3 linked regions of the Struthio camelus genome follow. The protein of the gene in region 2 interacts with the protein of the main gene of each other region in a pairwise test. Links are inferred from orthologs where the notes say so. Each region holds a gene or a part of one and is shown on either strand. Other genes may lie near its edges.

What was found.
Region 1: the proteins of NFYC (region 2) and DR1 interact in binary tests that used the Homo sapiens proteins (3 or more experiments, as listed by UniProt). The link is inferred for Struthio camelus from reciprocal best matches to the Homo sapiens genes NFYC and DR1.
Region 3: the proteins of NFYC (region 2) and SREBF2 interact in binary tests that used the Homo sapiens proteins (3 or more experiments, as listed by UniProt). The link is inferred for Struthio camelus from reciprocal best matches to the Homo sapiens genes NFYC and SREBF2.

The regions. Positions count from the first base shown.
Region 1 is NC_090949.1:18,518,186-18,525,861, reverse strand, and holds the start of DR1 (protein Dr1), read left to right. Parts: upstream 1-4,650; 5' UTR 4,651-5,043; coding exon 5,044-5,263; intron 5,264-7,676. Other genes in the region: retinol dehydrogenase 8, read left to right, coding at 521-614, 2,421-2,604, 3,213-3,446. UniProt on the Homo sapiens protein: The association of the DR1/DRAP1 heterodimer with TBP results in a functional repression of both activated and basal transcription of class II genes.
Region 2 is NC_090964.1:8,945,641-8,953,671, reverse strand, and holds the start of NFYC (nuclear transcription factor Y subunit gamma), read left to right. Parts: upstream 1-4,983; 5' UTR 4,984-4,986; coding exon 4,987-5,254; intron 5,255-8,031. UniProt on the Homo sapiens protein: Component of the sequence-specific heterotrimeric transcription factor (NF-Y) which specifically recognizes a 5'-CCAAT-3' box motif found in the promoters of its target genes.
Region 3 is NC_090942.1:56,592,813-56,600,475, reverse strand, and holds the start of SREBF2 (sterol regulatory element-binding protein 2), read left to right. Parts: upstream 1-4,572; 5' UTR 4,573-4,698; coding exon 4,699-4,780; intron 4,781-7,663. Other genes in the region: CCDC134 (coiled-coil domain-containing protein 134), read left to right, coding at 1-59, 368-452, 1,337-1,518, 1,806-1,877, 2,155-2,280.

The sequences.
Region 1 (7,676 bases), on a different chromosome or scaffold from region 2:
AGTTGTTATAGTTTAATACAGTATTTACTCTCCATCTAAGTGGATTGATGTCCTGCTTTTTCAAAGTCCCTCAGATGCAAGCTGGATCTCTTGTATTATCTTATCCCCTGCATTGCACTCAGCTTCTGTGTTTCTCTACAGCCTATTAAAGTCTTGCTGATGAATAATGCAGATGGTATTGTATGTATAGACACCTTCGTACATTAGGCTAAAAAATATTTAGTATAATTCAAAAAGACCCCAGCATCAACTAGGAGGGGGAAAAGACCTCGTCAAGTACCCTTTTCTAGAATAAGTAATTTTGAGTTCACGTGACAAAAATCAGCAATATTTAATATTGCTAGAACTAGCTCACTAGATTGACATAAACAAGGATTTTTTTATGTTTTCCCAGCAAGACTGTAGAAATTTGGGGAAAATACAAGTGGTTCTTAAACTAAAAGATTAGTATAACAAAGAACTACAATATAAGTATGTCGCATACAATCACATTCTCTGGATGTTTTGTTTGTGCCATCAGGTATCTTATTTAATGATGTTTATGCTGCGTCTAAGTTTGCTGTGGAAGGATTCTGCGAAAGCTTAGCTATACAGGCACTCAAGTTTAAGCTCCAGTAAGTATGGATCCACAGATGTGAACTATATTTTAGTTTTAAAATGTATTCAGAGCTAGCAAACAAATGTTTTAAGCTTGCTACTGTCTAGGAGAAACAAACTGAGGAACCCATGGCAACTGTACACCACAAATGGCACAGAAATGTTCTCATCCTTCAAATGAAACAAACCCTTAAAAAGGCTTAGATGCTAACGAAGCATGTTATCTTGAATAGCGTAAGGCTGTTTAGCTTTGAACAAAATAGAGGTCAATGTACTTCTTAAAAATACCGATTCTTGCATACGATACCATTTGAATAGAATTATAATACCAACCTGTAATACTTTCCTTTAGAAAGGATAAGAGTCTTTATTTCTTAGACAATCCAAAGATTAAAAAGTTCAAGGGCATCATAACAGAGAGAATGCAGTGGAAATTCATCAGAAGGGCACACAGACTGAGATAACCCCTAGGGGCTGGAGGTAAAAGGAAGGCAAGGAACAATTTAGTGTTGCAGCGTAGTATTTTCTTACTGTTTAAGACAGTATTTAAGAGAATGGTCCAGTCGGTGGCCTGTGGGATTTAGGTGTCTGATTTGTCACCTATACATTCACATTGGCATATTACAGGATGAAACTTTGCTGCTACTTTGTATGTGTGAAGTCCAACAATTGTTAAACATCCAGTGCACCTGTGTATGCCGGAGCATTTAGCCCTTGTGCTGTGGGAGAAGAGACAGCTGCTTTCACGTGATTCCAGAGACAAAGCTGCATCCAAATGGGCGTTTTGCACCCAGCTCTGAAAAGTCATGATGTAATGATATACAGGGTATGATAGAATTTATAAGATTTCAAGACTCTGAGATACAGAGGAAAGGAGGTAAACAAACAAAACGTGGTGCCCAGCAAGTAGAATGGAAAAAGTCCAAGGCCCAGTGAGGAGACTGACAGCTTAAATGATTATATTACGCAAGCGAAAAGGCTGTAATTCCAGCAGCAGCTGGAATTCTGCTGTCAAGGTCAGTAGCTTCTAAGGTTAGTAGTTCTAAAGAAGAGCCTGAGCAGAAGTCATCTCTACGAAAAAGTCCTATCCAAAAGAGTTGTTTCATAAGCATGGTGGCTGGAGGTAAGTACTACCTGAGAGTAGAAATGGAAAACAGTTGGTCAGTAAGTGTACGTATTTCAGTGATTTGCTATAATACATTACTGATCAAAATCTGATTTTCCAGATATCTGGTAAGGCAGCAGCCAAAATCTGTCCATCCACAGCAAAAATCTCCATATTGTATTTTATATAATTTTATAGAGTGCTCTGCAATTATGTAACGCTGAAGGCTTGACAAAGAAAATCTATTTGGGCAGTTTCCTTCCCCCCCCCTCCCTCCCTCACCTTTTTTTTTTCATTTACTTTGAGTATTATCATGTGAAAGCTATGGTAAAGAAATCTATGTAGGATTTTGTCCGGAAAGTAATGAATTTTGTAATCATCCTTAAATTGCTTTTCTTAATCTTTGAGGAGATCTCATGGCTTAATCATCCTCAGATTCCACAGTTGTTAGACAGCAGGTAACAACTGCACTCAGTTCTGCCACAAACTAAGTTAGAACGCTTCCCAGAAATTAAATTATCCTTTTTTTCTACATCTACACGCGGATGGGTAAGAGCTGCAGGCCAGAAATGTGGTATGGATCACCATTACAGAGTGTACCATTCAATATTGCTTGCTAACGGGTACTGTAACTATTCAATATCCTTTAAGAAGGATAGCTGCATGTATTTCCCATGCAGAAGACTCTATAACCAGTGTATCTTTGCTCTTTGAACAGGTTAAGTCTGATTGAACCCGGCCCAGTGGTCACAGAGTTTGAAAGAAAAGTTTTTGAAGATGGAATGAAAATGGATCTTTCAGCTGCAGACAAGGAAACAGCTGAGATGTTTACTAACATTTACCTTAAAAATTACAAACAAATTTTCCAGAGCCTGGGGCAAAGTGCTGAGGATGTTGCAGAGGTAACTCATCAACAATTCTCTTTTTTTTTTTTGGGGGGGGGGGGGGCGAGGGGATGTGTGTGTTGTAATTTAAGAATTACCAAAGAGTTTAAAAGACAGTTGTGAAACCGGTAAGGTACAATAAAGGATATAGTTTCCGTTGTTTGAGGCTTTCTGCAGGAAGCAAAGTCTGGAAAGTTGGGGGAGAGAACAATGACTTCAGGTGCTGGCTGCTAAGGGATAGCTTGGGTGTCAGCTGAAGCTTCCTGGGTCTTGTTGCAAAGTGCACCATTCTCACCCTTTTCCAGTGAACTGTAAAAGGAGGTATCTATCTATTGAGGGCCTACATGGATAATCTTGAAGGACTACTCAGTACACTTAGGTGTAAGGTGTCATCACCATAGTCTAGATGAACAGAAATAGGATTAAGAAGAAATAAGAAGTTTTTCTTTTGGCTTAAAATTGTTCTAAGAAACAATTCTAATTAAATTCTAATTAAATTTCATACAGGGTTTTACACAACTCTAAAATTTATTCTCCCACTCTTCCTCTGCCTAACTTATCAAAATAATAATTTAAAAAAATGATTTTCAAAGTTCTTTAACGATTTACTTTCTCGTTCTTGACAGCATACAGTAAAGATAATTCTTGCAGAGAATCCGCCTTTTCGCCATCAGACCAACACCTTGTATACTCCGATGACAACTCTGAAGTATGCAGATCCAAATGGAGATCTACCCATTGATACATTCTACAAAATGGTTTTTCATCATGACAAAGTCTTCAGCGCGAGTCTTAACTTTATCAAACTGCTAAGGTGGAGAAGTAGAAAGAGCTTTGACCTGGGAAAACCCTCACAATAAATGCCAGTTTATTCTGTGTACATCTGAATAATTTGTTCTAGCTACTGATAACACAGTATGTTGTTATTAAAATGTATTTGCTCTGTAATTGTTAAAAAGGCAATCAAGATGTTTGTTTGAGCTTAGCTAAGATATTCAGCTCAGTTTATTTATCTTGAACTTTACAGTTTCCAGACTCTTGAAAGTAAAATCTTCTACAGGTTTGGTCAGTTTAGCTCTTGCCTTTTACAGAGATCAGTTTTTGTGGAAATGTGAACATTAATTGACATTTATGTATTAAATACTAATCTGATCCCCTTCACTTACTAGACTATAACATAACCTGAGATGTGTACTGCATGTAAATTATGGATAGATTCTCAAATCATAAAATTATTTTATCCTTCTGCTTACTAGTATGGTAACTCCTCAATCACAGTAGCATCACACTTCCAGAAATCAGGACTAACTGCAGAATATACAAGAAAAATACTCGTCAATCCTTTAAAAAGTGCAACTAGAGTATTTTAATATTATTTTTACATATATATATATATATATCACGTTATGAATACTTGCTTTATAGGCAGTGGTTACTTGCTGACTACAACTAGTGGACAATAACATTTTTTTTCAATTGCTTCTTACCTTGTTGTATTTCCTGCAAAAACAGAACCTTATCACTAAAAACTAATGTGAATCCGTTCCCTTCCTTGGGCAATTTCGACGTTAAAAACACTGGAGTGGCTTTGCTTCCCCTTTTAAAAGGAAAATTACACGAAACTCGCTACGGCAGCAGGAGCCGTCCTCGGCGGCTGTCCTTTCCCCAAGCCCCCCTAAGAAGTACCGTAAGCAGGAGGTGCAGGTCCTTCCCTTTCCCTTCTCTTCCCCCTAGCGCCGCAACTCGACTCAGACCAGGCCAGCAGCCTAGTTTCAACCGCGGCTGGCCCGGCGCGGCCCTCCGCGCTGCCGCCGGGCGTGACGGAGCGCCGCCGGCCACGCGCGGCAGCCCGCGGCCCCGGCAGGGCCGCGCCACGCAGCAGCCGCCCCCGCGCCGGGCTCACGCCCCGCTCGTAGCGCCGCCCCCCGCTCCCAGGCGGCCCGGCCCCTCCCGCCGTGCGGCGCCGCCGCCCGCCCCCTTCCGGCGGTCGCGGCGAGGGGCGGGGCGGGGCCAGGCGGCGGCGGCGGAAGCTTGACCCGGCTTCCGGCGGAAGCGCCGTGGCTGGCAGGTCGAGCCCGTGCTCAGCCCGCGCCGCCGCCGCCGCCGCCGGCCGGGGGAGCCGCCGTGCCCCGCCGCGCCGCGCCGCCCCGCCGATTTGGCCGCTCCGCTGCCCTCCGCGCGGGTCATAAGGCGGCGGCGCCGGCGCCCCGAAGGATGTGGCGGAGGCGGCAGTGGCAGGCGCCGCGGCCGAGGGAGCCCTGAGCCCGGGGCAGCGCTCGCCCGCTCCGCGCACCGGCCCGCGACCCCGCCCGTCCGTCCGCGCCGCGGCCGCGCCGCGCCTCGCACCCCCCTCCCTCCCCCCCCGCCGCCGCCCCGCCCCGGAGCCCCGCGCGGCGGCCGAGGGGGAGCGGTGAGCGCGGGAGCGCAGCGCCCCTCGGGGAGCGAGCGGCAGCCGGCATGGCCTCGTCCTCGGGCAACGACGACGACCTCACCATCCCGCGGGCGGCCATCAACAAGATGATCAAGGAGACGCTGCCCAACGTGCGCGTGGCCAACGACGCCCGGGAGCTGGTGGTGAACTGCTGCACCGAGTTCATCCACCTCATCTCCTCCGAGGCCAACGAGATCTGCAACAAGTCGGAGAAGAAAACCATCTCCCCCGAGCACGTCATTCAAGGCAAGTTCCCGCCGGCCCCGGAGCCGCCTGTCGTCCTGCCGCGGCGGGCGGGCGGGCGCGGAGGGAGAGCGCGGGCGCCGCCGCCGCCGCCGCCGGGGCGGGCTGTGCGCGGGGCTGCCGCTCGCCCTGCGCCTCTGCGGCCGGAGCGCGGCCTCGGCCCTCCCGGCGGCCGCGAGGCGAGGCCGGCTCCTTAGAGCCGGAGACCGCCTGGGGAGCCTGCGCTTCTGAGACGTCTTTCTGGCTGGAGACTCCCAAAAGGGCTAGGTCGGGGCAGGTGGCGGGGGCGGTGCGGAGCCCGGTCTTCAGTCCAGTCTCTTTGCCTGGGTCACGTAAGGAGCAAAACACACCTACGGGGCTGCCCGCGCAGCTGGATGGCTCAAGAATCGAGGGTTCCTACCCGCTCTAGGAAGCGTTTGGACGTGACATATGCTACTGCATCTTTTTCTGCTGTTGACTTGCACTTCCTCTTGCTGAATAAAAAGAGAGTTCCCTCATTCGTTTTTCTTTAAATTCTTCCACAAACAGGAAGACTTTTTTTAACCTTATGCTGAAATCTCGAGTGGGCTTCTTCTGTCCAGTTTCATTCGTATCTGGTTTCATTCGCTTTGCTGCTTAAGCAAAGGTTGTCGATATCCATGTCTGCTGCAAACAAATGGGTAGCAATGATATTGAAGGTGGCCAAAGTGCTTCATTGTGCTGCCTGGTAGAGCTGTTAAGAGTAGTATTTGCAGTAGAGCTCTTTCCAGGGCTGCAAAGGTATCGGGTTAATGGGAAAACGATATATTTTTTGTATGCTTTGTTTTTGTAACAGGCTAATAGATTCTCTACTTAAACCAAACAAAAAAAAAAGCCCAAAATCAGATTCCTTTGTGTTATGCCAGCTTGCTCACCAGAAGCGTTTCAGTAGCTGACTGGATTTTGAACAACAGAAGAAAATACTATATATGAGCTTTAATGTTGAACGTTAAAAGCATGCATTTTAAAATTGGTAACAGGAAGTTCAGAAAAGCAGCTCAATTACAGAAGTTCAGGATGTAAAGGGTGAAACTTTTGCTTACGCGTGGAAATATACTTGTGATATGAAGCTTCTTAATACATAGAAAGTTTCTTCACGTGATCACCAAAAGATTTGAGCTCAGTCCTTCACATAAGACTAGAGATGGTCTTTAAGGTTCAGGACAATAAATAGTTCACTTAAAGTATTTTTCTGCCCATTAGTAGTGGTTCTTGGAAAACTTTCGCTTGTTGCTATCCTAGGGTTAGTCTGGATTTTTGAAAACAAATGACACTTTTTTGATAGGATATCCAAAACTGTAAGAGTAAGTAGAAGTTGAAATCTTAGGACGGTGCATATATCATCATGAGATGGTCCCCAAGCAAATATTTTGTCTATGCCTCCTTCTATGTCTTTTTATCATCAGATTCCAGGGTTAAAAAAAGGTTAGTTTCAAATTAGATCTGTCCATTTTAGTCACATTTTTACCAAATAAAGCTTGGAGGTGTATCCTTTTTATGATACTCCAGAGGAGGAAGGAGTTGTTCTTGGATTTACTCTTGTCCTTATCTTTAAGGATGTGCAGGTGCTATTCACTTCTTCCAGACAGTGGTCAGTTAGCAGATGATCTCTCTGTGGAGTGTGAGGATTTAGATCAGTCATTTTGGAACTGCTGAGGTTATGTGTATATAGCCATAGCATTTCAGCATATTTGTAATTAGGTCTTCATACATCCTAGATGTTTGCTAGTTTGAATACCTCTTGGCATGGTTTTGCCACAGTGATGCTAACAAATTCAGTAATACACAAATACGTTGTTGTCTTATGGTCATCTAGATATCTTAGTCCTTTCAATTGCTTAAACTAGCTTATTTAGAAGTAAAAGGAGGCTAAGGTATGTCACGTCACACCTGGTCCAGTCTAAATAGCAGCTGCTGTCAAAAGCAGCCTTGTTCTGTGCCCTCCCTGGAGCTGGATCTAGCAATCACACAGCCGCGGGGTGAGCTGGGGCAGTTGGAATTGGGAGGGTGCATAGTTTTCTATCAGGTGAGCTTGTTGATCTGACTCTTGCAGACATGCAGTTACTAAATTGAGTGCAACGGGCAGGGAAGGCGTTTCACTGGGAAGGAGGATGAGGAAAGAAGGTAGATCTGCTCCTTTTGGTGACACCCTGCAGTTAGACTGTGGTGGAGGTAATGTGAAACTGCAGTTTGTCACTGTAGGCAACAGTGGTGCATAAGTCACTTGCTCCTTCGCTGTGCTAGCGAAAACGATTGTGTGACCATGTGGTGAACTAGAGCCTTCTTCCTTGCTGGGCTGTGTTCAGGGGGAGGAATTCCCTGCCCCGTCTCACTGTGTGGTAGCACAAACACTTGCCCTGCACAGTGCTGTGAACCAACATAGGGAAAGGACAGCAAT
Region 2 (8,031 bases):
CCTTGGCTCTCTGAATGCAAACACTAATTTTCCTCTAAGCGGCGTCTCTTTTTACTGGTGGTAAATTCCTCCAGCGCGTTCCCTGCGTTGCCTCTGCAGGCTGCGCACCACGGCTGAAATGGCAGCCACGTGCCAGGAGGAAACCCTCCTTCGCTGACTTTAACTCTGTCCATCCCTAAAACAGCACCGGACTCGGCTAGCCCGGCTGCTCCCGGGGCAGCGGTGCCCACCTTTGCCGCGCTCGGCTTTCTGCGGGGCGCTGGCGCGGGGTCGGGTGGCCGCCGCGGGTGCCCGCTGCCAACCAGCCGACCCCGACCCGCCTGCGCAAACGCTCCGCTGGTCGGGGAGACGGGGCACAGGCAGGTACTGCCGGGGGGCAGAGGGAGAGGACGGAGCGAGCGCCGGGGCTGGGGCTCTCCCTCGGTACTCTTTGAGTCCCAGGTGGCACCACTGGCTTCAGAAAACACCTATCTGGTGGTTGCCTGCATCAGGGCTGGTGCCTGGGGGTGATGCTGGACCGCCAGGCAGCGGGACGCGGCGCTCGGCCAGCGCCCGTCCGTGGCGGGGAGGACGGGGGAATAACTCCCCTTGCAGCCGCTGCGGGGCAAGGGGACGGCGGGAGAGCTGGGACGGGCGCTGGGACGCGGACCGAGGAGCAGGAATGGCTGAAAGAACTAAATATGGAAAACTTGGATAAAACATAGCTGAAGCAGGGAGATGCTTTCCTCACAGAATTCAACGCGTATAAACAAACCCGGGGAGGGAGAGAGGTTGTCTGGAGGGGGCCTTTGTGAGTAATATTTAGAAATACTAGCTGAAAATATCTCTGTAGAAAAGGCTGTTTTATCAAAGCAAATTTCCAGCGTTGTGCGGGAAAGAGTCAATTCTGGGCACCTGTTGTTTTGGGGGAAAAGGCAGCTAAAACAAGCGCCTCAAGACGGTGGAAAGCTTCTCCTCTTTCGGCTTTTCGACGGCCACGTTTCGGTTATAAAACATGAAGTTTCACAGCAATATTGAAGGAAAAAAAAAAATATGCGATTTTTACCGATACGAAAGTTTCTGACCGCCTCCCTGGTTTTCTGCTTTGCTTGGCAGGCTGCTCCGGGACGGCTGGCCGTCCTCGCGCCGGCAGGGCCGCGGGGCTCGCCGTCCGCCCGCCCGCTGGCCGGGGAAGCGGGGTCGAGCGAGGGGGCTGCAGGCTGCCCCCGGGCTGCCCTTCACCCCGAAACAGCAGGATGGACGAAAGCCCCAGGCTTAAGTCTGGTGTCGGGATCCCGCTGCAGCTCTCCCCCCTCTCTTTAATTCGTTAAGGAGCTCTGCTGGCTGATCTGTCAGATCCTCCCCGCCGCCTCCTTTAGGTTTTGGTTTTGTGTAGACGAAAAGGGGGTTGTTTAATGCGATTACTCCCTTAAGGCCCACGTAAGGGGATTCAAGGGCCCGCTGGCAGCGTGCGGTGGAGGTGGCAGCGGGCGCCAGGAGAGCCCGGCGCCGCCTCCTGCAGAGAGCGTGCCCGCACGAGGCAGCAGCTTCGCAGCCCGGCTTTTGTGGGCTCCCCAAGCCAGGACGTCCCGTGTGGGCGAGCCCGGCATGCCGCGCGCCCTCGGGGAGAGCCCTGCACCTTGTCGAGAGGTTTGTGGGGAGAGGATGGTTTACCCTGGGACTGGCGGGAGGGGAAGAAGAGTTAAACGGTGGGCAGAAACGGTGTGTTTTTGGAAAGGCTTTTCCAAAATAACACTGCCTCCCGGGCAGGGGTTAGTCGCTGTCCGGAGCCAGGCGGTGGGGTGGCCCCTGGGTGGGCAGGGTGACTTGGAGGGCAGGCTGGCCGTTCCCGTCCCCTTGGCACGGCTGGATCCCTTGCCCACGGGGAGGAACGCGTTGCTCACGATGCTCGGGGAGGTTGTCGGTGCTGCGTCAGCTCCTGCAGCCTTCTCCGTTGCTCCTGCAACGTGTCCCACTTCTCGCAGGAGAAAGAGCTGCAGTGAGATGCTGCAAAATCTCCTTTTACCGTTCTGCAGGGAGCAACTGGGTCACGTGGACTCACCAGTGTCCTACTGGGAGAGCCAGCGTGGTTGATCAGCGCTGGGGATCAGCCAGGCAACAGGCGCTAGCACACTAGCAGCTGTCCTGTCTGCTTCCAGCCAGGATGTGCCGGGCTTTGGGAAACCCACCCTTGGACCTGGGAGCAGAGACACCGACTGGATCTTTGCAGTGGGACCAACTGAGCTGACCCGAGTCCCGGCTTTTAGGTGGGAGCTGCATCCTCTCCCCACTCCGGGAAGATGAGAGGAAAGTGCTTCCCTGGAAATCAGGTCTCCCTGCTGGAGCTGGGCTGAGTGGCTTGGCTCCGAGTGGCTCTCTTGCAGCTCTTGAAGTAAACTTTACAGATTTCATAACCCTGCGGGTTTTTAATGACTTCTGTCACAAGCTGTGAAATGTGTAAACGCTCTATGCAAAGTGGCTGGGCTGGTCAAGCAGCCTTTGTGCTGTTACCTGATACGAGTTTGGATTTGCAGCGCAGAGAACGCAGCAGCTTAGGAGAGCGTGTCCCGTTAACTGCTCTGCTTTTCGCTGCACACCACGTTTGGGGCACTAGGAAATAAGCAGTTAAATAGCGGTAGAGCTGAGGCAGCAAGTCAGGGTGCAGGGTGCTTCCACGTGGCTCCCAGTTTTTGGAGCAGCTCCGCTCTGCAATAAAACACCCGCTTTCCTGGCACCAGCTCAGAGGGGGCCCTGTCCCCTGCTGAGGAGCCCTGTCCCGACACTGCCGGCCCAAACCACAGGATGGCACCCAAAGGGACGTGTTTTTCTGTTCAATTTAAGGGACAAGGTTTCTACAAAGCCTCCAAAAACATGTGTGCATGTGTACACACATATTGAGGTACACTCTTAATACTTAAATAGAATAAAGATGGTCCCAAAGTGGGAGATGTGCCAGGTTATGAGCCCTGGGGAAATTCGGAAGGATGGTTTGCAGTCACGGGGTGGGTATGACCCTGGATGTGACACAGGAAATGGGGCAGCCTGCTGGACTAAAGGGCCCCAAAATCTGGCCTCAGCTACCTTCTCTTTCCCCTAGATCTACAAGATGGTGTGTCTGTGTCCGGTCAGATGCCAGTACATAATTCATTGCCATTTTTTTGTAATACATCAGGGGAGTCTAAACTTTTCTTTTCTTGGGGATTATTGCCCCAAAGCAATAGCTCACTTGGGATTAGTCCAGAGTTCAGCTGTAATGGGAGTCACATGGGATAGGAGAGGGCCGAATCGAGGCAAAGGGCCAGGCATGTAACCTCTGCTGTAAGATGCAATTTTCACAAGTGTCAAATAAATTCAGCCCTTCTGAAACCTGGCTCCAGAGTGCAGTAAAGCTCCTCTGGGTCTTACTGCTGATGCAGGAGAGAATGGGCTGAGCAGGTAGCAGATGTCGGTAAGTGTGAAATCAACAAACCACAAAGAAATTTATGTAAGCACCAGTAAATCAGAGAGCGGAAAAAAGCATTTTTCTCCTTGTTTTTCTTGGCTCCTCCACGTTCTGGGTAGGCTGGCACAGAGACCTCTGTGTTTGCAGAGGGCTACAAGCCTTCTTGGGGAAGCTGAGCTGCTCTGAACAATGCAGCCATTGCTGCTGAGAGAGCAGGTGGGAAGGAAACAGAGCATCGCGGGCTTAGTGCAATAGCGCACAATAGAATTAAGCTGGAGGAGGAGTGGGGCATTGTGTAGAAACCCCTTGAGTGGGGCCTGCTGAGCGGCAGGAAAAACAGCTGGTTTGTTCCACAGCTGTGCCTGGCAGCAAAGTCAGCAGCATCACTGGCTAATTGATTTATAAATGAGTCATTTTGAAGAGGGGGCTGTATAACATAACATGTATCACCACTCTCGAACGTTACAACGAGAGCTGAAGCCCTGCTCAGAGAGAATTAAAAAAAAGAGAGAGAGAATTAATAAAAATAACTGTGGCATGTATTTTATTTCTCTTGGCTGCTGTGCCTTGCAAGTGCCCTGAGGTCGTGAAGTCGCAAAAATTTCAACAAAACTGCAGGAATTCACTGCACGATGTCTCCCATTTCAGTGCCAACACACAGTCTTCAGGACAGCCTGGTTCTGAAACCACATATGCGACCGCAGAGATTTGTTGCATTTCCTACCTTTGGGCAAATGTCATGCAACAGAAACCACAGACACTGACTGTGCCTGCAGCAAGGGCTCTTTCTCCTCTCTCACGTAGGGTGCAAACCATACGCAATGAAGCACTGTACCAGAAACATGCCAATCGTCAGCAGACGTCTCCATTTTCAGAAACTCTGCAGAGAGGGTCAGTGGAAGCACAGGAGCCAGCCGGGACCTGGCTTTGCTTTCCCATGACCAATGATATTAAAGCACCAGACAGGCAAAACCTCCTTCTAGCTGTAAGTTGGATGCAATCAACTCGGGCACCAGGGGGACAATAAGGAAGCCAAGAAGTACCGCTTTAGAGTCGTTTTTCAGGATACACTTTTCCATGGGAAAAGCACTGAAGCAGCATGAGTCACACGTCAGTGTAACACATCCCCCGGAGCCAGAAAAGCAGCGCCTGGGAAGCGGGATGGCCGAGCTGGAGCACAGACTTTTGCTTGAATCGGCTCCAGCTGGGGCAGGAGAGCAGCAGGCGGCTGCGAGGACGGCCCAGGGGCCGACGCGAAGCGAGTTGGACAGCTCCTCGCCCGGGGGCCCTTCCCGGCCGCCGCACGAGCGGGGCCCAGGGCAGCGCGGCCTGGGGGAGCGGCCGCTCGCCTCGGCCCCGGGCCTCGAGCCTCGGTACCGGCGGGGCCCAGCCCGGTCGGGGGGGCGGCCTAGGCCGGGGGCGGACCGAGCCGGGGAAGGCCCCAGGCCGGGCTAGGCTAGGCCAGGCCAGGCCAGGCCGTGCGGCGGCCCGGGTGCCCCCCCGGAGGCCAGCAGGCACCGGAGCCCCCTCCCGGCGAGCCGCGGGCCCCGCCCGCCGCTCCGCCCATGGCGGCGGCCTGCCCGCGCCCAACGGCGGTCTCGCGAGAGCCGCCCCGGGTCACGCGCCTGCGCAGGGGCCGCGGCCCAGGGGAAAGGGGCGGAGCCGCTCCGCCGCCGCCTCACGGAGCGGCCGCCATCTTGTTTCTCGGCCGCTGGGCTCTCGCTCCGCTCTGGTCGCCCCCTCCCCCCCCTCCTTCCCGCCTCCCTTCAGCCGGGCCGGAGGCAGCGCGGGTGCCGGGCGGAGGAGGCGGAAGTGGCGGCGCTGGCTACCCCGGTGAGTGCGCGGGGTGCGGGCGGGGGGAGTCCGGGGCCCGTGAGGGGGCGCGGGGCGGGAGCGGCCCGAGGGCTTCCCCCCTCCTCTCCCCTCCCCCATGCTCCGCGCCTATTGGCAGCGCCGCGCCCGCTGATTGGCCGGCGCGGGGGGAGGCGGGCGAGGGGTGCCGCGCGCTGATTGGCTGCCGAGGGGCGGACCGGGGAGAGGACAGGAAACCGAACCGTTTCCCCGCGCGGCCCGGAGCGGCCCGGAGCGGCCCGGAGCGGGGGGAGGGGAGGGGTGGGGCGCGCCCGGGGCTGCGGGGGGGGGGTAGGGGCGAGGAGGCCCGTGTGCGGCCCCGGGGCTGGCGGAGCGCCGGCGGCAGGTGCCCCAGGGCATGAACGGCCTTCCCAGGGCCCTCCCCGGGCAGGCAGCGGCTGCGGGGCCGGCCTGGCCGGCGTCAGCGGGTCACCCCCCCCCCCCGGAGCGCTCGGTGCCGCGTACCGGGGATGCTGCCTTTTACCGGCCTCTGGCTTTTAAAAGATCTCTCCAAAGTCTGGCTGACTTTTAAACTTGGTAGGAAGAGGGGCAGAATTGAAGCTGGGCCCTGAAAGTGCCTGGGAGTGTTCTGAAGGTCTCTGGTAAATATCCGAGGAACTGGTTAATCTGTGCTTGAAACCTAAACGTTTGAGCACCGAGAGTTGTGAAAACGTTTGCACAGAAGTACTGTTTCCCTAGGTTTTTCTTTTTCCCAAGCTGAGGAAATGAAAGAGAGGCCCATCAGTAACGGTGTAATGTTATACATTAAATACCCCGTGAATATGGTAGGGATGAAAGCTAATTATTTTGGGCTGGGTTAGACTGCATTGAGATCAGTTCTTTCGTAGGCCGTGTCGCTAGCTGTGCTCGTGCGTCGATGCCTGTGTGGGGTCAGGAATGAGTGGTGGGTGTAGGATAAACAGGATGCCACAACTTGTTCTTGATTGCAGCGCTGGCTTGTGCTTGCTGTAATTGAACGGTATCCAGGGCTGATATGGGAACCCGGAGCTCTCAGCAGACTTCAGGTTGCTTACAGCAAAAGAAATTATAATGCTAGCTACTTGTCCTGGACTCTGACTTATTACCTTTTGAGACACTTGTCTTATTGAGTAGTGTATTCTCTATGTATTCACAAATAAATACTTCTAATCCGTCTCAATAGCTGTCTGAGTACGTGCGATTAAAATAGAAGTCTCAACTGACTTCGCTTACGATGTCGACCAAACATTCTGCAAGTATGTGGTTAACTTTTTCTCTTCTATTCCTATATCCAGAAAATAGACCTCTTGGGTCATCAAATGTAATTTGCTGCTGTTGCCCTTGGCAACATGATATGTCTTTTCTTAGGCTTACCATTGCCCTTCTTAAATTAGGTTGAATTTTTGGACTGGACTGCTGCTGGATCTGTGTTTGTCTTCAGTTGAAGTGTATTCTGGTTACCAGTCTAAACTTATCTGTGCCCAGCTTACCATCTGTAAGCACTGGTCATAAACAGTAATAACCTGATGTAGTTTTGCTTCTGGCATCACCCAGTCCCTCATAAGGACTTTGGTTTTCCATGTCACTGCTACTCACAGCTGCTCATTTGAGGTCTGGCGTGTGCTGGCAACCTTTGGTCCACTTTGAGCACAGCACAGTGCAAGGATTCAAACACCTTTCAGGATGGATGCAGACTTCTTGGTCAAACAAAGCAAAAAGTGGTGCTTTGAAAGCCCAGTGCAGCACAGAGAGAGTTGTTTCCTCAGAGCGAGGACTGAGAAACATGTATAATCCAGCTGGATCTCAGATGTGCTGTGGGTTGGCCGGGTGACCTTGAGCCAGTAATTTATCCTGTTCTGCCAACTTGTGCCCTCTTATTATTTTGTACTTTATAAAGATAAGAAGTGCCACAACCTGCAAAGATGCAATGGTCGATTATATTGGGTTAATAGCATACATTTCTCCTGATGTCTTTCCAGGAGTGTTTAAAGCTTTTGAGCAGGATTTTCGCAATTCTTTAGCGATAGCTTCGCTGCCCTGTATGACTTCAGAACAGGAACAGATACAGCAACTGAAATAGCTCCCTTAGTGCATACGTTCCCAAACTGAACTTATTTTATCACTGTCATGGAGAATTATTAAATACTGTGAAAGTAATAGTTGTTCCCATGGTCATTCTGGGTCATATCTGCACGTAGGAGAGGGGCCTCTAGATCCTTCCCCTCTCACCTGGAGACAGTGCGTCGCGCCATGGCATGAGGAGGCACATGAGAATGTGTTTGGGCAGTTCTTACTGCTCAAACATCCAGATAGACATTCCTCTTCTCTTCTGCAGGAAAAGATGAGGGGCTGTTTTGGTTTTGTTTTGCATACTGCTTTAAAGTACCTTGCATACCTCTAATAGTAGGCATACCACAGCTTGGAGGCCCTTGCTTTTATGTGTGGAATGACAAAGGAAGAGAACAAAGCATTACTAAGTATTATTTTTTTAAGATGTCACATTTTAACCAATTATATTTAATAAATCACTGGAAAGATCTATTTTTAAATTAATCTGGTCTTGCTATCTGATTCAAAGTATTTTAATAGTGGTTAAGCATTCACTATGCCTCGTATTTCTTTTTTCCTCCACTGCTCTGGATTTAATCCTCTAAGCATATTATTTTCAAGCAGTAAATAGTATCTTGGAATGCAGCTTGAAATGCATGTGGGTATTGTTGATAACTTTCTGAAAGTGCAAAATAGTCCTATGTCTGCATAGGTAAAATATCATCTGTACT
Region 3 (7,663 bases), on a different chromosome or scaffold from region 2:
TCAACGACGTGAACCAGCAGTACAAAATCATCGACATCATGCTCAAGGGACTCTTCAAGGTGAGGCGCGGGGCAGGCTCTCCTCCGGGCTCGGCATGCTCTGGCGCGAGCTGCCCACTCCCTCCCTTCGCCCCTGAGCTGGGTGCTGCACCCAGGCCGGGACGCTGGGGAGGGCGAGCAGGAGAAGCAACGGCAGCAGGGAGCCTCTGTGGGGCTGAAGAGACGAGCTGAGGGGCAGAGTAGGCTGCTGCAGCAGTAGGGGGTCCCCTGAAGGCTGCCCTTGGACAGAGGGGAGCAGGGCCAGGTTGGGGCAAGGATGGGCAAGGGGGGAGGGCAGGCGGGATGGGCAGTAACCAAGAGCCTTTCAGGTGCTGGAGGACTCCCGGGCCGTGCTAATAGCTGCAGATGTGCCGCCAGATGGGCCTTTTCCTCAGGACGAGAAGCTAAAAGATGGTAGGTCATCTCTGGTCTTCTGCCCCCGTTCCTTTTTCCATTGCTATGTTGCATCTCTGTCTTTTCGTGTGGGATCAGTGCCAGGGTAGCTATGAAATCCCTGGGGCTGCCTACAGAGATCCCTACGGGGATCTTCCACTGGTCCCTGTGGTGTTTTCTATCGGGGAGCCATTACGGTCTCGCTGACCAGTTCATACTGGGGATCCTGCCCATTTACCCCCTGCCTCTCCATCTTTGCCACTAGGATTTAGATGCTCCCAGGATGAGGTAGGGGCAAATGACTCTGAATGAATTTGAGTTTCACTGGGGAGGCCTTTGTTCAGCAGTCTCCCAAAGGATATGGGGAGAGGAGGCCTCATCACAACAGAGATTTAAACGTAGATCCTGCAAAGCCCCTGGAGAACATGCTGCCCAGCTAGGACAGGGCAAAGGCACTGCCTGTTGCAGCCGTCTCTAGACTTTCCTGCTCTCGTTTCCCAAGTGGCACCGAGCTGATGTGGTGCTTTGTAGCCTGTGTGAGCTCTCCCGTCCCTGATCTCTGCTGTCGGGATCTGCTCCACATCCAACCTCAGCAGCCAACCTCGACTTCCCCCAGCCAGCCTCAGCTGGAACTGCCCCGTCCCCGCTGCTGAGGGCCAGGAGCCATCATGGGACGTCAGCCCCCGAGGAGGCTGGGCTGGGCGCACGGCGCGTCCGTAACCGCAGGCGGCGGGACGTGGAAGGGGAAGTCTCACCGCGTCCTTTGGAAGCAGCCTCTCCTCCCGTCCCTGTGCTCCGGCCACGCGTGGGGGGCCCTGGCGGTTGGGGAGGGGACCGTGGCTGGCGGGAGCGGGGCAGTGCGTGGGGCCGGCCTGCCGACAGGGCCGGGTGGCTCTCCTCCGCAGCGTACTCCCACGTGGTGGAGAACACGGCCTTCTTCGGGGACGTCGTCCTGCGCTTCCCCAAGATCGTGCACCACTACTTCGACCGCAACTCCAACTGGAACAACCTCATCCGCTGGGGGATTGGTTTCTGCAACCTGACGGGGGTGTTTGAGCAGGGACCCCACTCCCAGGTCCTGGGGCTGGTAAGGCCGAGTCTCGCCCGTCGTATCCCGTCTCCGCTGCCGGGGGGGCAAAGCGTGGGCACGGGCGCGAGGGTAAAGGGAGAGCAAGCAGAGGGAGCGTTCGCCTCTTCCCGTGCCTGCCGGGCTGGAGAGCGTCTCCCCTGCCTGAGGGACATCTTTGGGCTGGAGGGAGAGCGAAGGGGCCCAGAAAGGAGGGAAGGCTCGGGGTGGGGGGGGGGGGAGGCAAGGACGCGGCGGGCGACGAGCGACGCCGCCATCCGCCGCGCGGCCCTTGCTTTGCTCTGCAGATGGCTCAGGAGCTGGGAATCAGCGAGAAATCTCCCGATTACCGCAACCCCTTCAAAACCGACCACTCCGAGGTAAGACGGCAAAGCGGCCGCGGTTCTCCTCCTCCTCCACCACCTCGTGCCGTGGGGAAAGAGGAGGTTTGGGGGGGGAGAGGGAAGGGGAACGGCCGAGCGCGTGGCTGGGAAGGGAAGCGGAGGAGGGAGTCCCGTCTCTGGCCAGGCTGGTGCCAGCTGCTGGCGGGTACAAAACCGTGCCCTCCTCTCTCCGCTCCTGCGGCGGGGGCCGCGGGGCCTCGGGGCTTGCTCCTCCTGGCTGACGCCGTGATTTCCCCCCCCCTCCCCGGCTCAGTTCTTCCCCAGCGCGGACACCTTGCAGAAGGCACTGCGAGAGGAGGAGAAGCGGCGGAAGAAGGAGGAGAAGCGGAAGGAGATCCGCAAGGGCCCGCGCATCTCGCGCTCGCAGTCCGACTTGTAGGGCCGGGCCCCGGCCCCGGCGGCGGGGACCCCCTGGCGGCGTCCCGTCCCCTTCCCCTCCGCCAACTTCCCCTCCAGCCGGGGCGCGGGGGCGTGAAACGGGCCTGCCGCGGCGAGGGGATGGGGGGGCCGGGGAGCTCGCGGCGGGAGCGAAGGGGCCTCGTGGGCAACGCTGCTTCTGTGAGGTTTTTTTCCTCTTTTTTTTTTTTTTTTTTTAAATCGGTGATGTTTCCGCTCCCTGCGCCCCAGCCCGGTTATACCCGATCTCTGCCCGGCCGATGCACCGGATCTCCCCGTCTCCTGGCCGCCCTTTGGCTCAGCCGCCCGCCTGTCGTCCCTGGCGGCTGAAAAAGGCCAAAAGAGCCTTTTTCCCGGCCGGGCCGCGGCCCCCGTTTTCCCTGAGCGGCTAATGGAGGGGTTTCCTGATGGGGACGGCGGGAGGGAAATTGGGAATTAAGCGGCGCTCGCGGGGACGGACGTGGCCTCTCCGCCCTCCTTTCCCTGGCACCGCAACGGGGCTTGGTTGTGGAAGCGGCCAGGGTTGCCGAATTTCCCCTTCCACCCGATTTTTTTTTCCCTCCCCCTCCGTATTTTGGATTGCAGAAGTCTTTTCCAAAAAAAAAAAAAAAAAAATCCCACCATCCAAACGCTACCTACCCCGCTGCTGGGGGGGGGGGGGTCAGGGCCGCCCCTGCTGCGAGGGGCCGGGGGCGGCTCTGGGAGGAGGGAGCTCTTCCCCCCGGCTCCCTCGGTGCGCGTCGGCGGTGCCGGAGGAGCTGGAGCCGGCCGGTCGGCCCCCGCCTGCCCGGGACCGGCGCTTTCCCACGCCGCCCAAGCTGCCTTCGGGCGACTTGACGGGGCCAGTGGTGGGAAACGTCCTTTATTTTTAAATACGGAGACGGGTACGTTCGACGGGGGCGTTGGGAACTTGCGTTGAGATGGGAAGTGTTTTGTTTTTCTTGAATAAATCTGATTTTTTTTTTTTTTTAAAGAAGCCTGCGTGTTGATTGCGTTCCCAGTGGGAGCGCTCCCAAAAAGGGGCGCGTGCCCAAGGGCGTCTCCGGGCCGTAGCTTTGGCTATTTTAGAAGGTGCCTAAGTGAGGAGATACTAAAAGGATGAGGCCAACTCTCCCAGCCGGTTACCTGGGAAATCGGAGCACCTTTTAATAAAACCCCTTCCTCCAAAACTTACTGCTGCTTTCAATCTAATGTTTCTCCCCCTTCATCTGATTTCATGCCAGCTTTGTAACAGGTCCGAGCCGCTCTTCCTCACCATCTCGCAATCTCCTTTAGGCTCCCAGGGAGAGATGTTCAAGGATATTTAGGTGCCTGCAGTTGCACCTAAATACGATTTTTCAAAAGCATCTGAGCAGGTTAGCTGCTAATTTCCTCCATCGCTTTCTCTCCGGGCTCCAGCGGTTGGGTCACGGCGCGGAGAGCCCGCGGAGCGACAGGCGCCGTGAGCGGCTCTGCGCTGCTGCAACACCTCAGCTTGCAAAATCATGTATTTTCCCCCTAGGGTGCCGCATGCCCGCAGCTCCCTCTTGGTCGAGGCTCCCGGTGAACGGGCAGGGGGAGAGGAAAGGCTGCTGGACATGGCAAGGATGCGGGGGTGTGCGGGGCCGGGGGTCCTTCAGCAACCACCCAGTTGGTTATTCCTCCCTGCTGCAATTTTTGCAACCTGGTGTAACTCCAAAGTGGGCCTTGCTTGGAGCAGAGACCTCTGAGGTCCCGTCCTGCTGGACTGTCCCGTGTCCAGCGGCGCGCGGGGGCGGATTTATCCAGCGCTGGTCGCCACCTGCCACCCGGCCCTGCGAGGCGCTTGGGAGGGGGCTGGGGCCACCCTAGTTGTGCGACGCGGCTTCAAGGCACGCGATGGCCGCTCCTCGGGGGTGAGGAGGAGGGAGCCCCGAGGCAGGAAGAAGCCTCCCTCCTTCCCTCCCTCCCTCGCACCGCCGTGCGGGCTGGGCCCTGCGGCGGGCAGCGCCCCCGCCACCCACCGGCGCGGTGCTCGGCGCTGCGCAGCCCGCCCGCGCCGCCGGCCACGCCCCCACCTCATGAATATTCTAATGCAGGGGGAGGGGGAGGCGGGGGCGGGGTCTGCTATGCTAATCGCAGCTGCTGATCGGTGACGCGCCATCACACCACGCGCCGCCGCGCCCGCCGATTGGTCAGGGGCGACCTGGTCTCATTGACAACAAACCGCGGGAGGCGCGCGCGCGCGCGACGCCGCCGCCGCTGCCGCCGCCGCCGTAGCGGCGGCTGGAGCTGCGGGCAGGTGGGGGGCGGGGCCGGCGGGCCGTGGGCGGCCCAAGATGGCGCGGGGTCGGCGGCGCTCGCCGGGAACCCGGGCTTGAGCGGCGGCGGCGGCGGTTCATGCCCTGGTGCGGCCTGCCGGGGCGGGGCGGGCCCGTGCGCGATGGAGAGCGGCGAGCTGGGCGCGGAGAACATGGAGGCGCTGACTGAGCTGGGCGACGAGCTCACGCTGGGTGACATCGACGGTGAGAGGGACGGCGGGGGCCGTTGTGACCGTTGGGGAGCGAGGGGGAGGGGGGGGGAGCTTCCCTGGCCCCCGTGGCGAGGCGGCGAGCCGCGCCCGGCGGGTGGAGAGGCGCGTGGGGCAGCCCCGAGCGGGGGGTGCGAGGGCGCGCGGGGGGAGGAAGAGGTGTCCGTGGGCCTGCCACGGGAGGCAGAGCTGCGTGGGGAGGGGGTGCGGCCTTGCTCGGTCCTCGTGTGACGGCGCGTGGGGCGTAGGGGGAGGCGCTCGGTGCGGGGGAGCGCTGCCCCGGAGCCGCCGTGGGAGGGGGATCCCGAGTGGGGCTGCCCGCGAGGTGTCCGCCCCCCCCCACCCACCCCCGCAGCGCAGAGCGACGCGGGTGGCGCCGTAGTGGCCGCTGCTGGGTGGCTCCGGCTCTCCCCGCGTGGGGAGCGCGTCCCGCGGGTGGCATCGCCGCCGCTGCTCCCTGGCTGCGGCTGGAAACCCGCCGCGGGGGGATCGCCCTCGGTGGTGTGGTCCGTCGGGGCCCGGCGAGCTGATGGCCAGTCCTGTTGGGCAAGGACTTTTTACCAAGACTGAGTCACTCGGGGTGGTACTGGGATGTTACGGCAATAACCGCGGTCGTAAAAATAAAAAATAAATAAAAAAAAAAAAAGCGATGTTAGAGGGTAGCAGGGGTGGAAGGCGCAAGGCTGGCGGCCCAGCTGGAGGGCACGCACACCTGTCGGAGTTGGACAGCTGCTGCGCGCTTCTTCGAACTCGGAGCTTTTGGCTGTTAAAATGATCAAGGATTTGAGGGGGGGGGGGAACAAAAAGTTAATTGCCTTTCCATTTCCTTTTTCCATCCCGAGTCTATCCAGCAAACGGTGCTGTGTTGTCCGTTTTGGGTTTTTTTTTTTTTTCCACTGGTTGGTTTGAAGTCTGTTATAAAGAATGGATGGAATTGTGCTGCCGCTAGCTCCTTTCAGAGGAGGTTGTTCCACGTCTTTATTCTAAAAATGAAACGGATGTAACTGTTAAATTTTCCTTTTGTTCCTTATGTCATCATAAATTGCTTTAACGTTTACGCCAGACGTCAGATAAATGAGAAGAAATGTTTTTTCCGCTGAAGTACAAAGCTAGAATGAATTATATTATTATTATTTTTTTTTTTCTTGAACAGCTCCTGGAAACCTGTAAAAACTATAGTTGGACTAATTATCTGATCTAGACTGAAAATTAAAACAGGTCCTCAGCAGAAATAAGAAAATTCACTGCTCTGACTTGCTTTGTTGAATATCTTTTTTGACTTTGCTGAACAGTAATCCTAAACAAAGGTCTACTTTGAGGGGGGTGTGTGTGTGTATCTAAAGCGTCCTTGTTTAATAGGTGGAAGACAGAACTGAACTGGTGCTTTTAAGTTTGATTGCAATTGATTTGCAGGGCAATTGGTAGCCATTGGAGGCAGTTTCTTTTCTCCGTAATATGTAAAACAAGCATCTGTCTTAGGAAAATGCAAGGGGCTTGATTATCACTGATAAAGTTCATGATGCGAATTAAAGATGATGTTTATTGTTGTCTGCAAAATAATGTCTTCTATAGGTCTGCATGGAAGCTGAGGCAAGTTCTAATGAGCTTTGAGCCAGGTCTTCTGAGCTGTTGGTGTTTTCTCAGTGAAATGTGGTTCAGGAATGTGGAACTCGGTGAGAAAGGAGAAGGTCTTTTACCTTACTCAGAATGGAGTGGATTTTCCTGGAGAGATGATATAATAGAGTCCTGGTTTTTTTATTTTGATGTGAACTCATCTCAGGATTTAAAATTCTGCAAGGGTTTTGGTTTGTGTGTGGGGGGTATTTTTGTTTTTTTTTACTTCTTGTTTGCTGCCTAAATCTCAGCAGTCCTCTCAATTTTGGGTCTGAATGATCCTCACAGCTTGCTGTACAGCTTTTTATTTTAAGTCTGGACTTGGAAGAAATTAAAGGGTGAATGACCCTGATTAGTGAATGGCCTTGACTGCTCTAGGAAGTTAATTCTTTGTAAAGTCAGGTTCCCAGATCGGGTGTGAAATCAGTCCAGGGCTTCAAGTGGGTGAACACAGCTTTTGGTCAGAAGTTCCAATAACTGAACAATAACCTAACTCTGCATGGTGTTCAAATGTAACTTTCTTCCCGAACTTCGTAGTACTGCAGTCTGACTGCTGTGTTGGCTACAAAAACCGCACTAGTGGAAAAAGACCTTTGAGAACCAGATGATCCGTGATGTAATCTTTGCATTTCCTTACCCTAGGGAGTTTAATTTGGTCATGGTTAAAAAGTACGTTTTTGTTTTTTAGATTTTGGTTTTTTACATTCATGTCAAAGTATCTTTTCAACTCTGTCTGTAGCTTAATCTGCTACTCTTTGAGTTTCTCTGAAAAGCAGCCTATGCTCACAAACACCTAGCAACCTTCTAGGAGGGTGGTGCGTGCAATACGTAGTAGCTGTACTGAAGCTGTAGCTTAAGCACTGTACTTTTCTATAAGGTACTTGGACACTGATCTGGAAGAAGTAGAAGTCATAGGTGGACTGACTTTGACGATATCTTGTGGATATTTTCTAGCTCTGTGTTTGCTCGGTATTGTTTTCTGCAGCAATATCTTGTTCCTCTGTAGTGACTGAGACCTTCAGCACAGAGGGTGCAGCTAATCTGAAAATGATGGGTTTATCACCAAATTGATGCCTGAGGGCTATCCTCCAAAAGCACACAAACATCCTAATAGTTTATTTATGTTTGCCCTGTTCTTTGTGTTGGCAAAGGAGTTCTCAGAGAGAGAGAGAGAGAGAGATTGGGTTCTTGCTGTTTCTACAGCTTCTCCTTTCCCTTCTATTGCTACTAGGGAAAGCTGTCGGGCACTTTCAGAAAGTGTTTC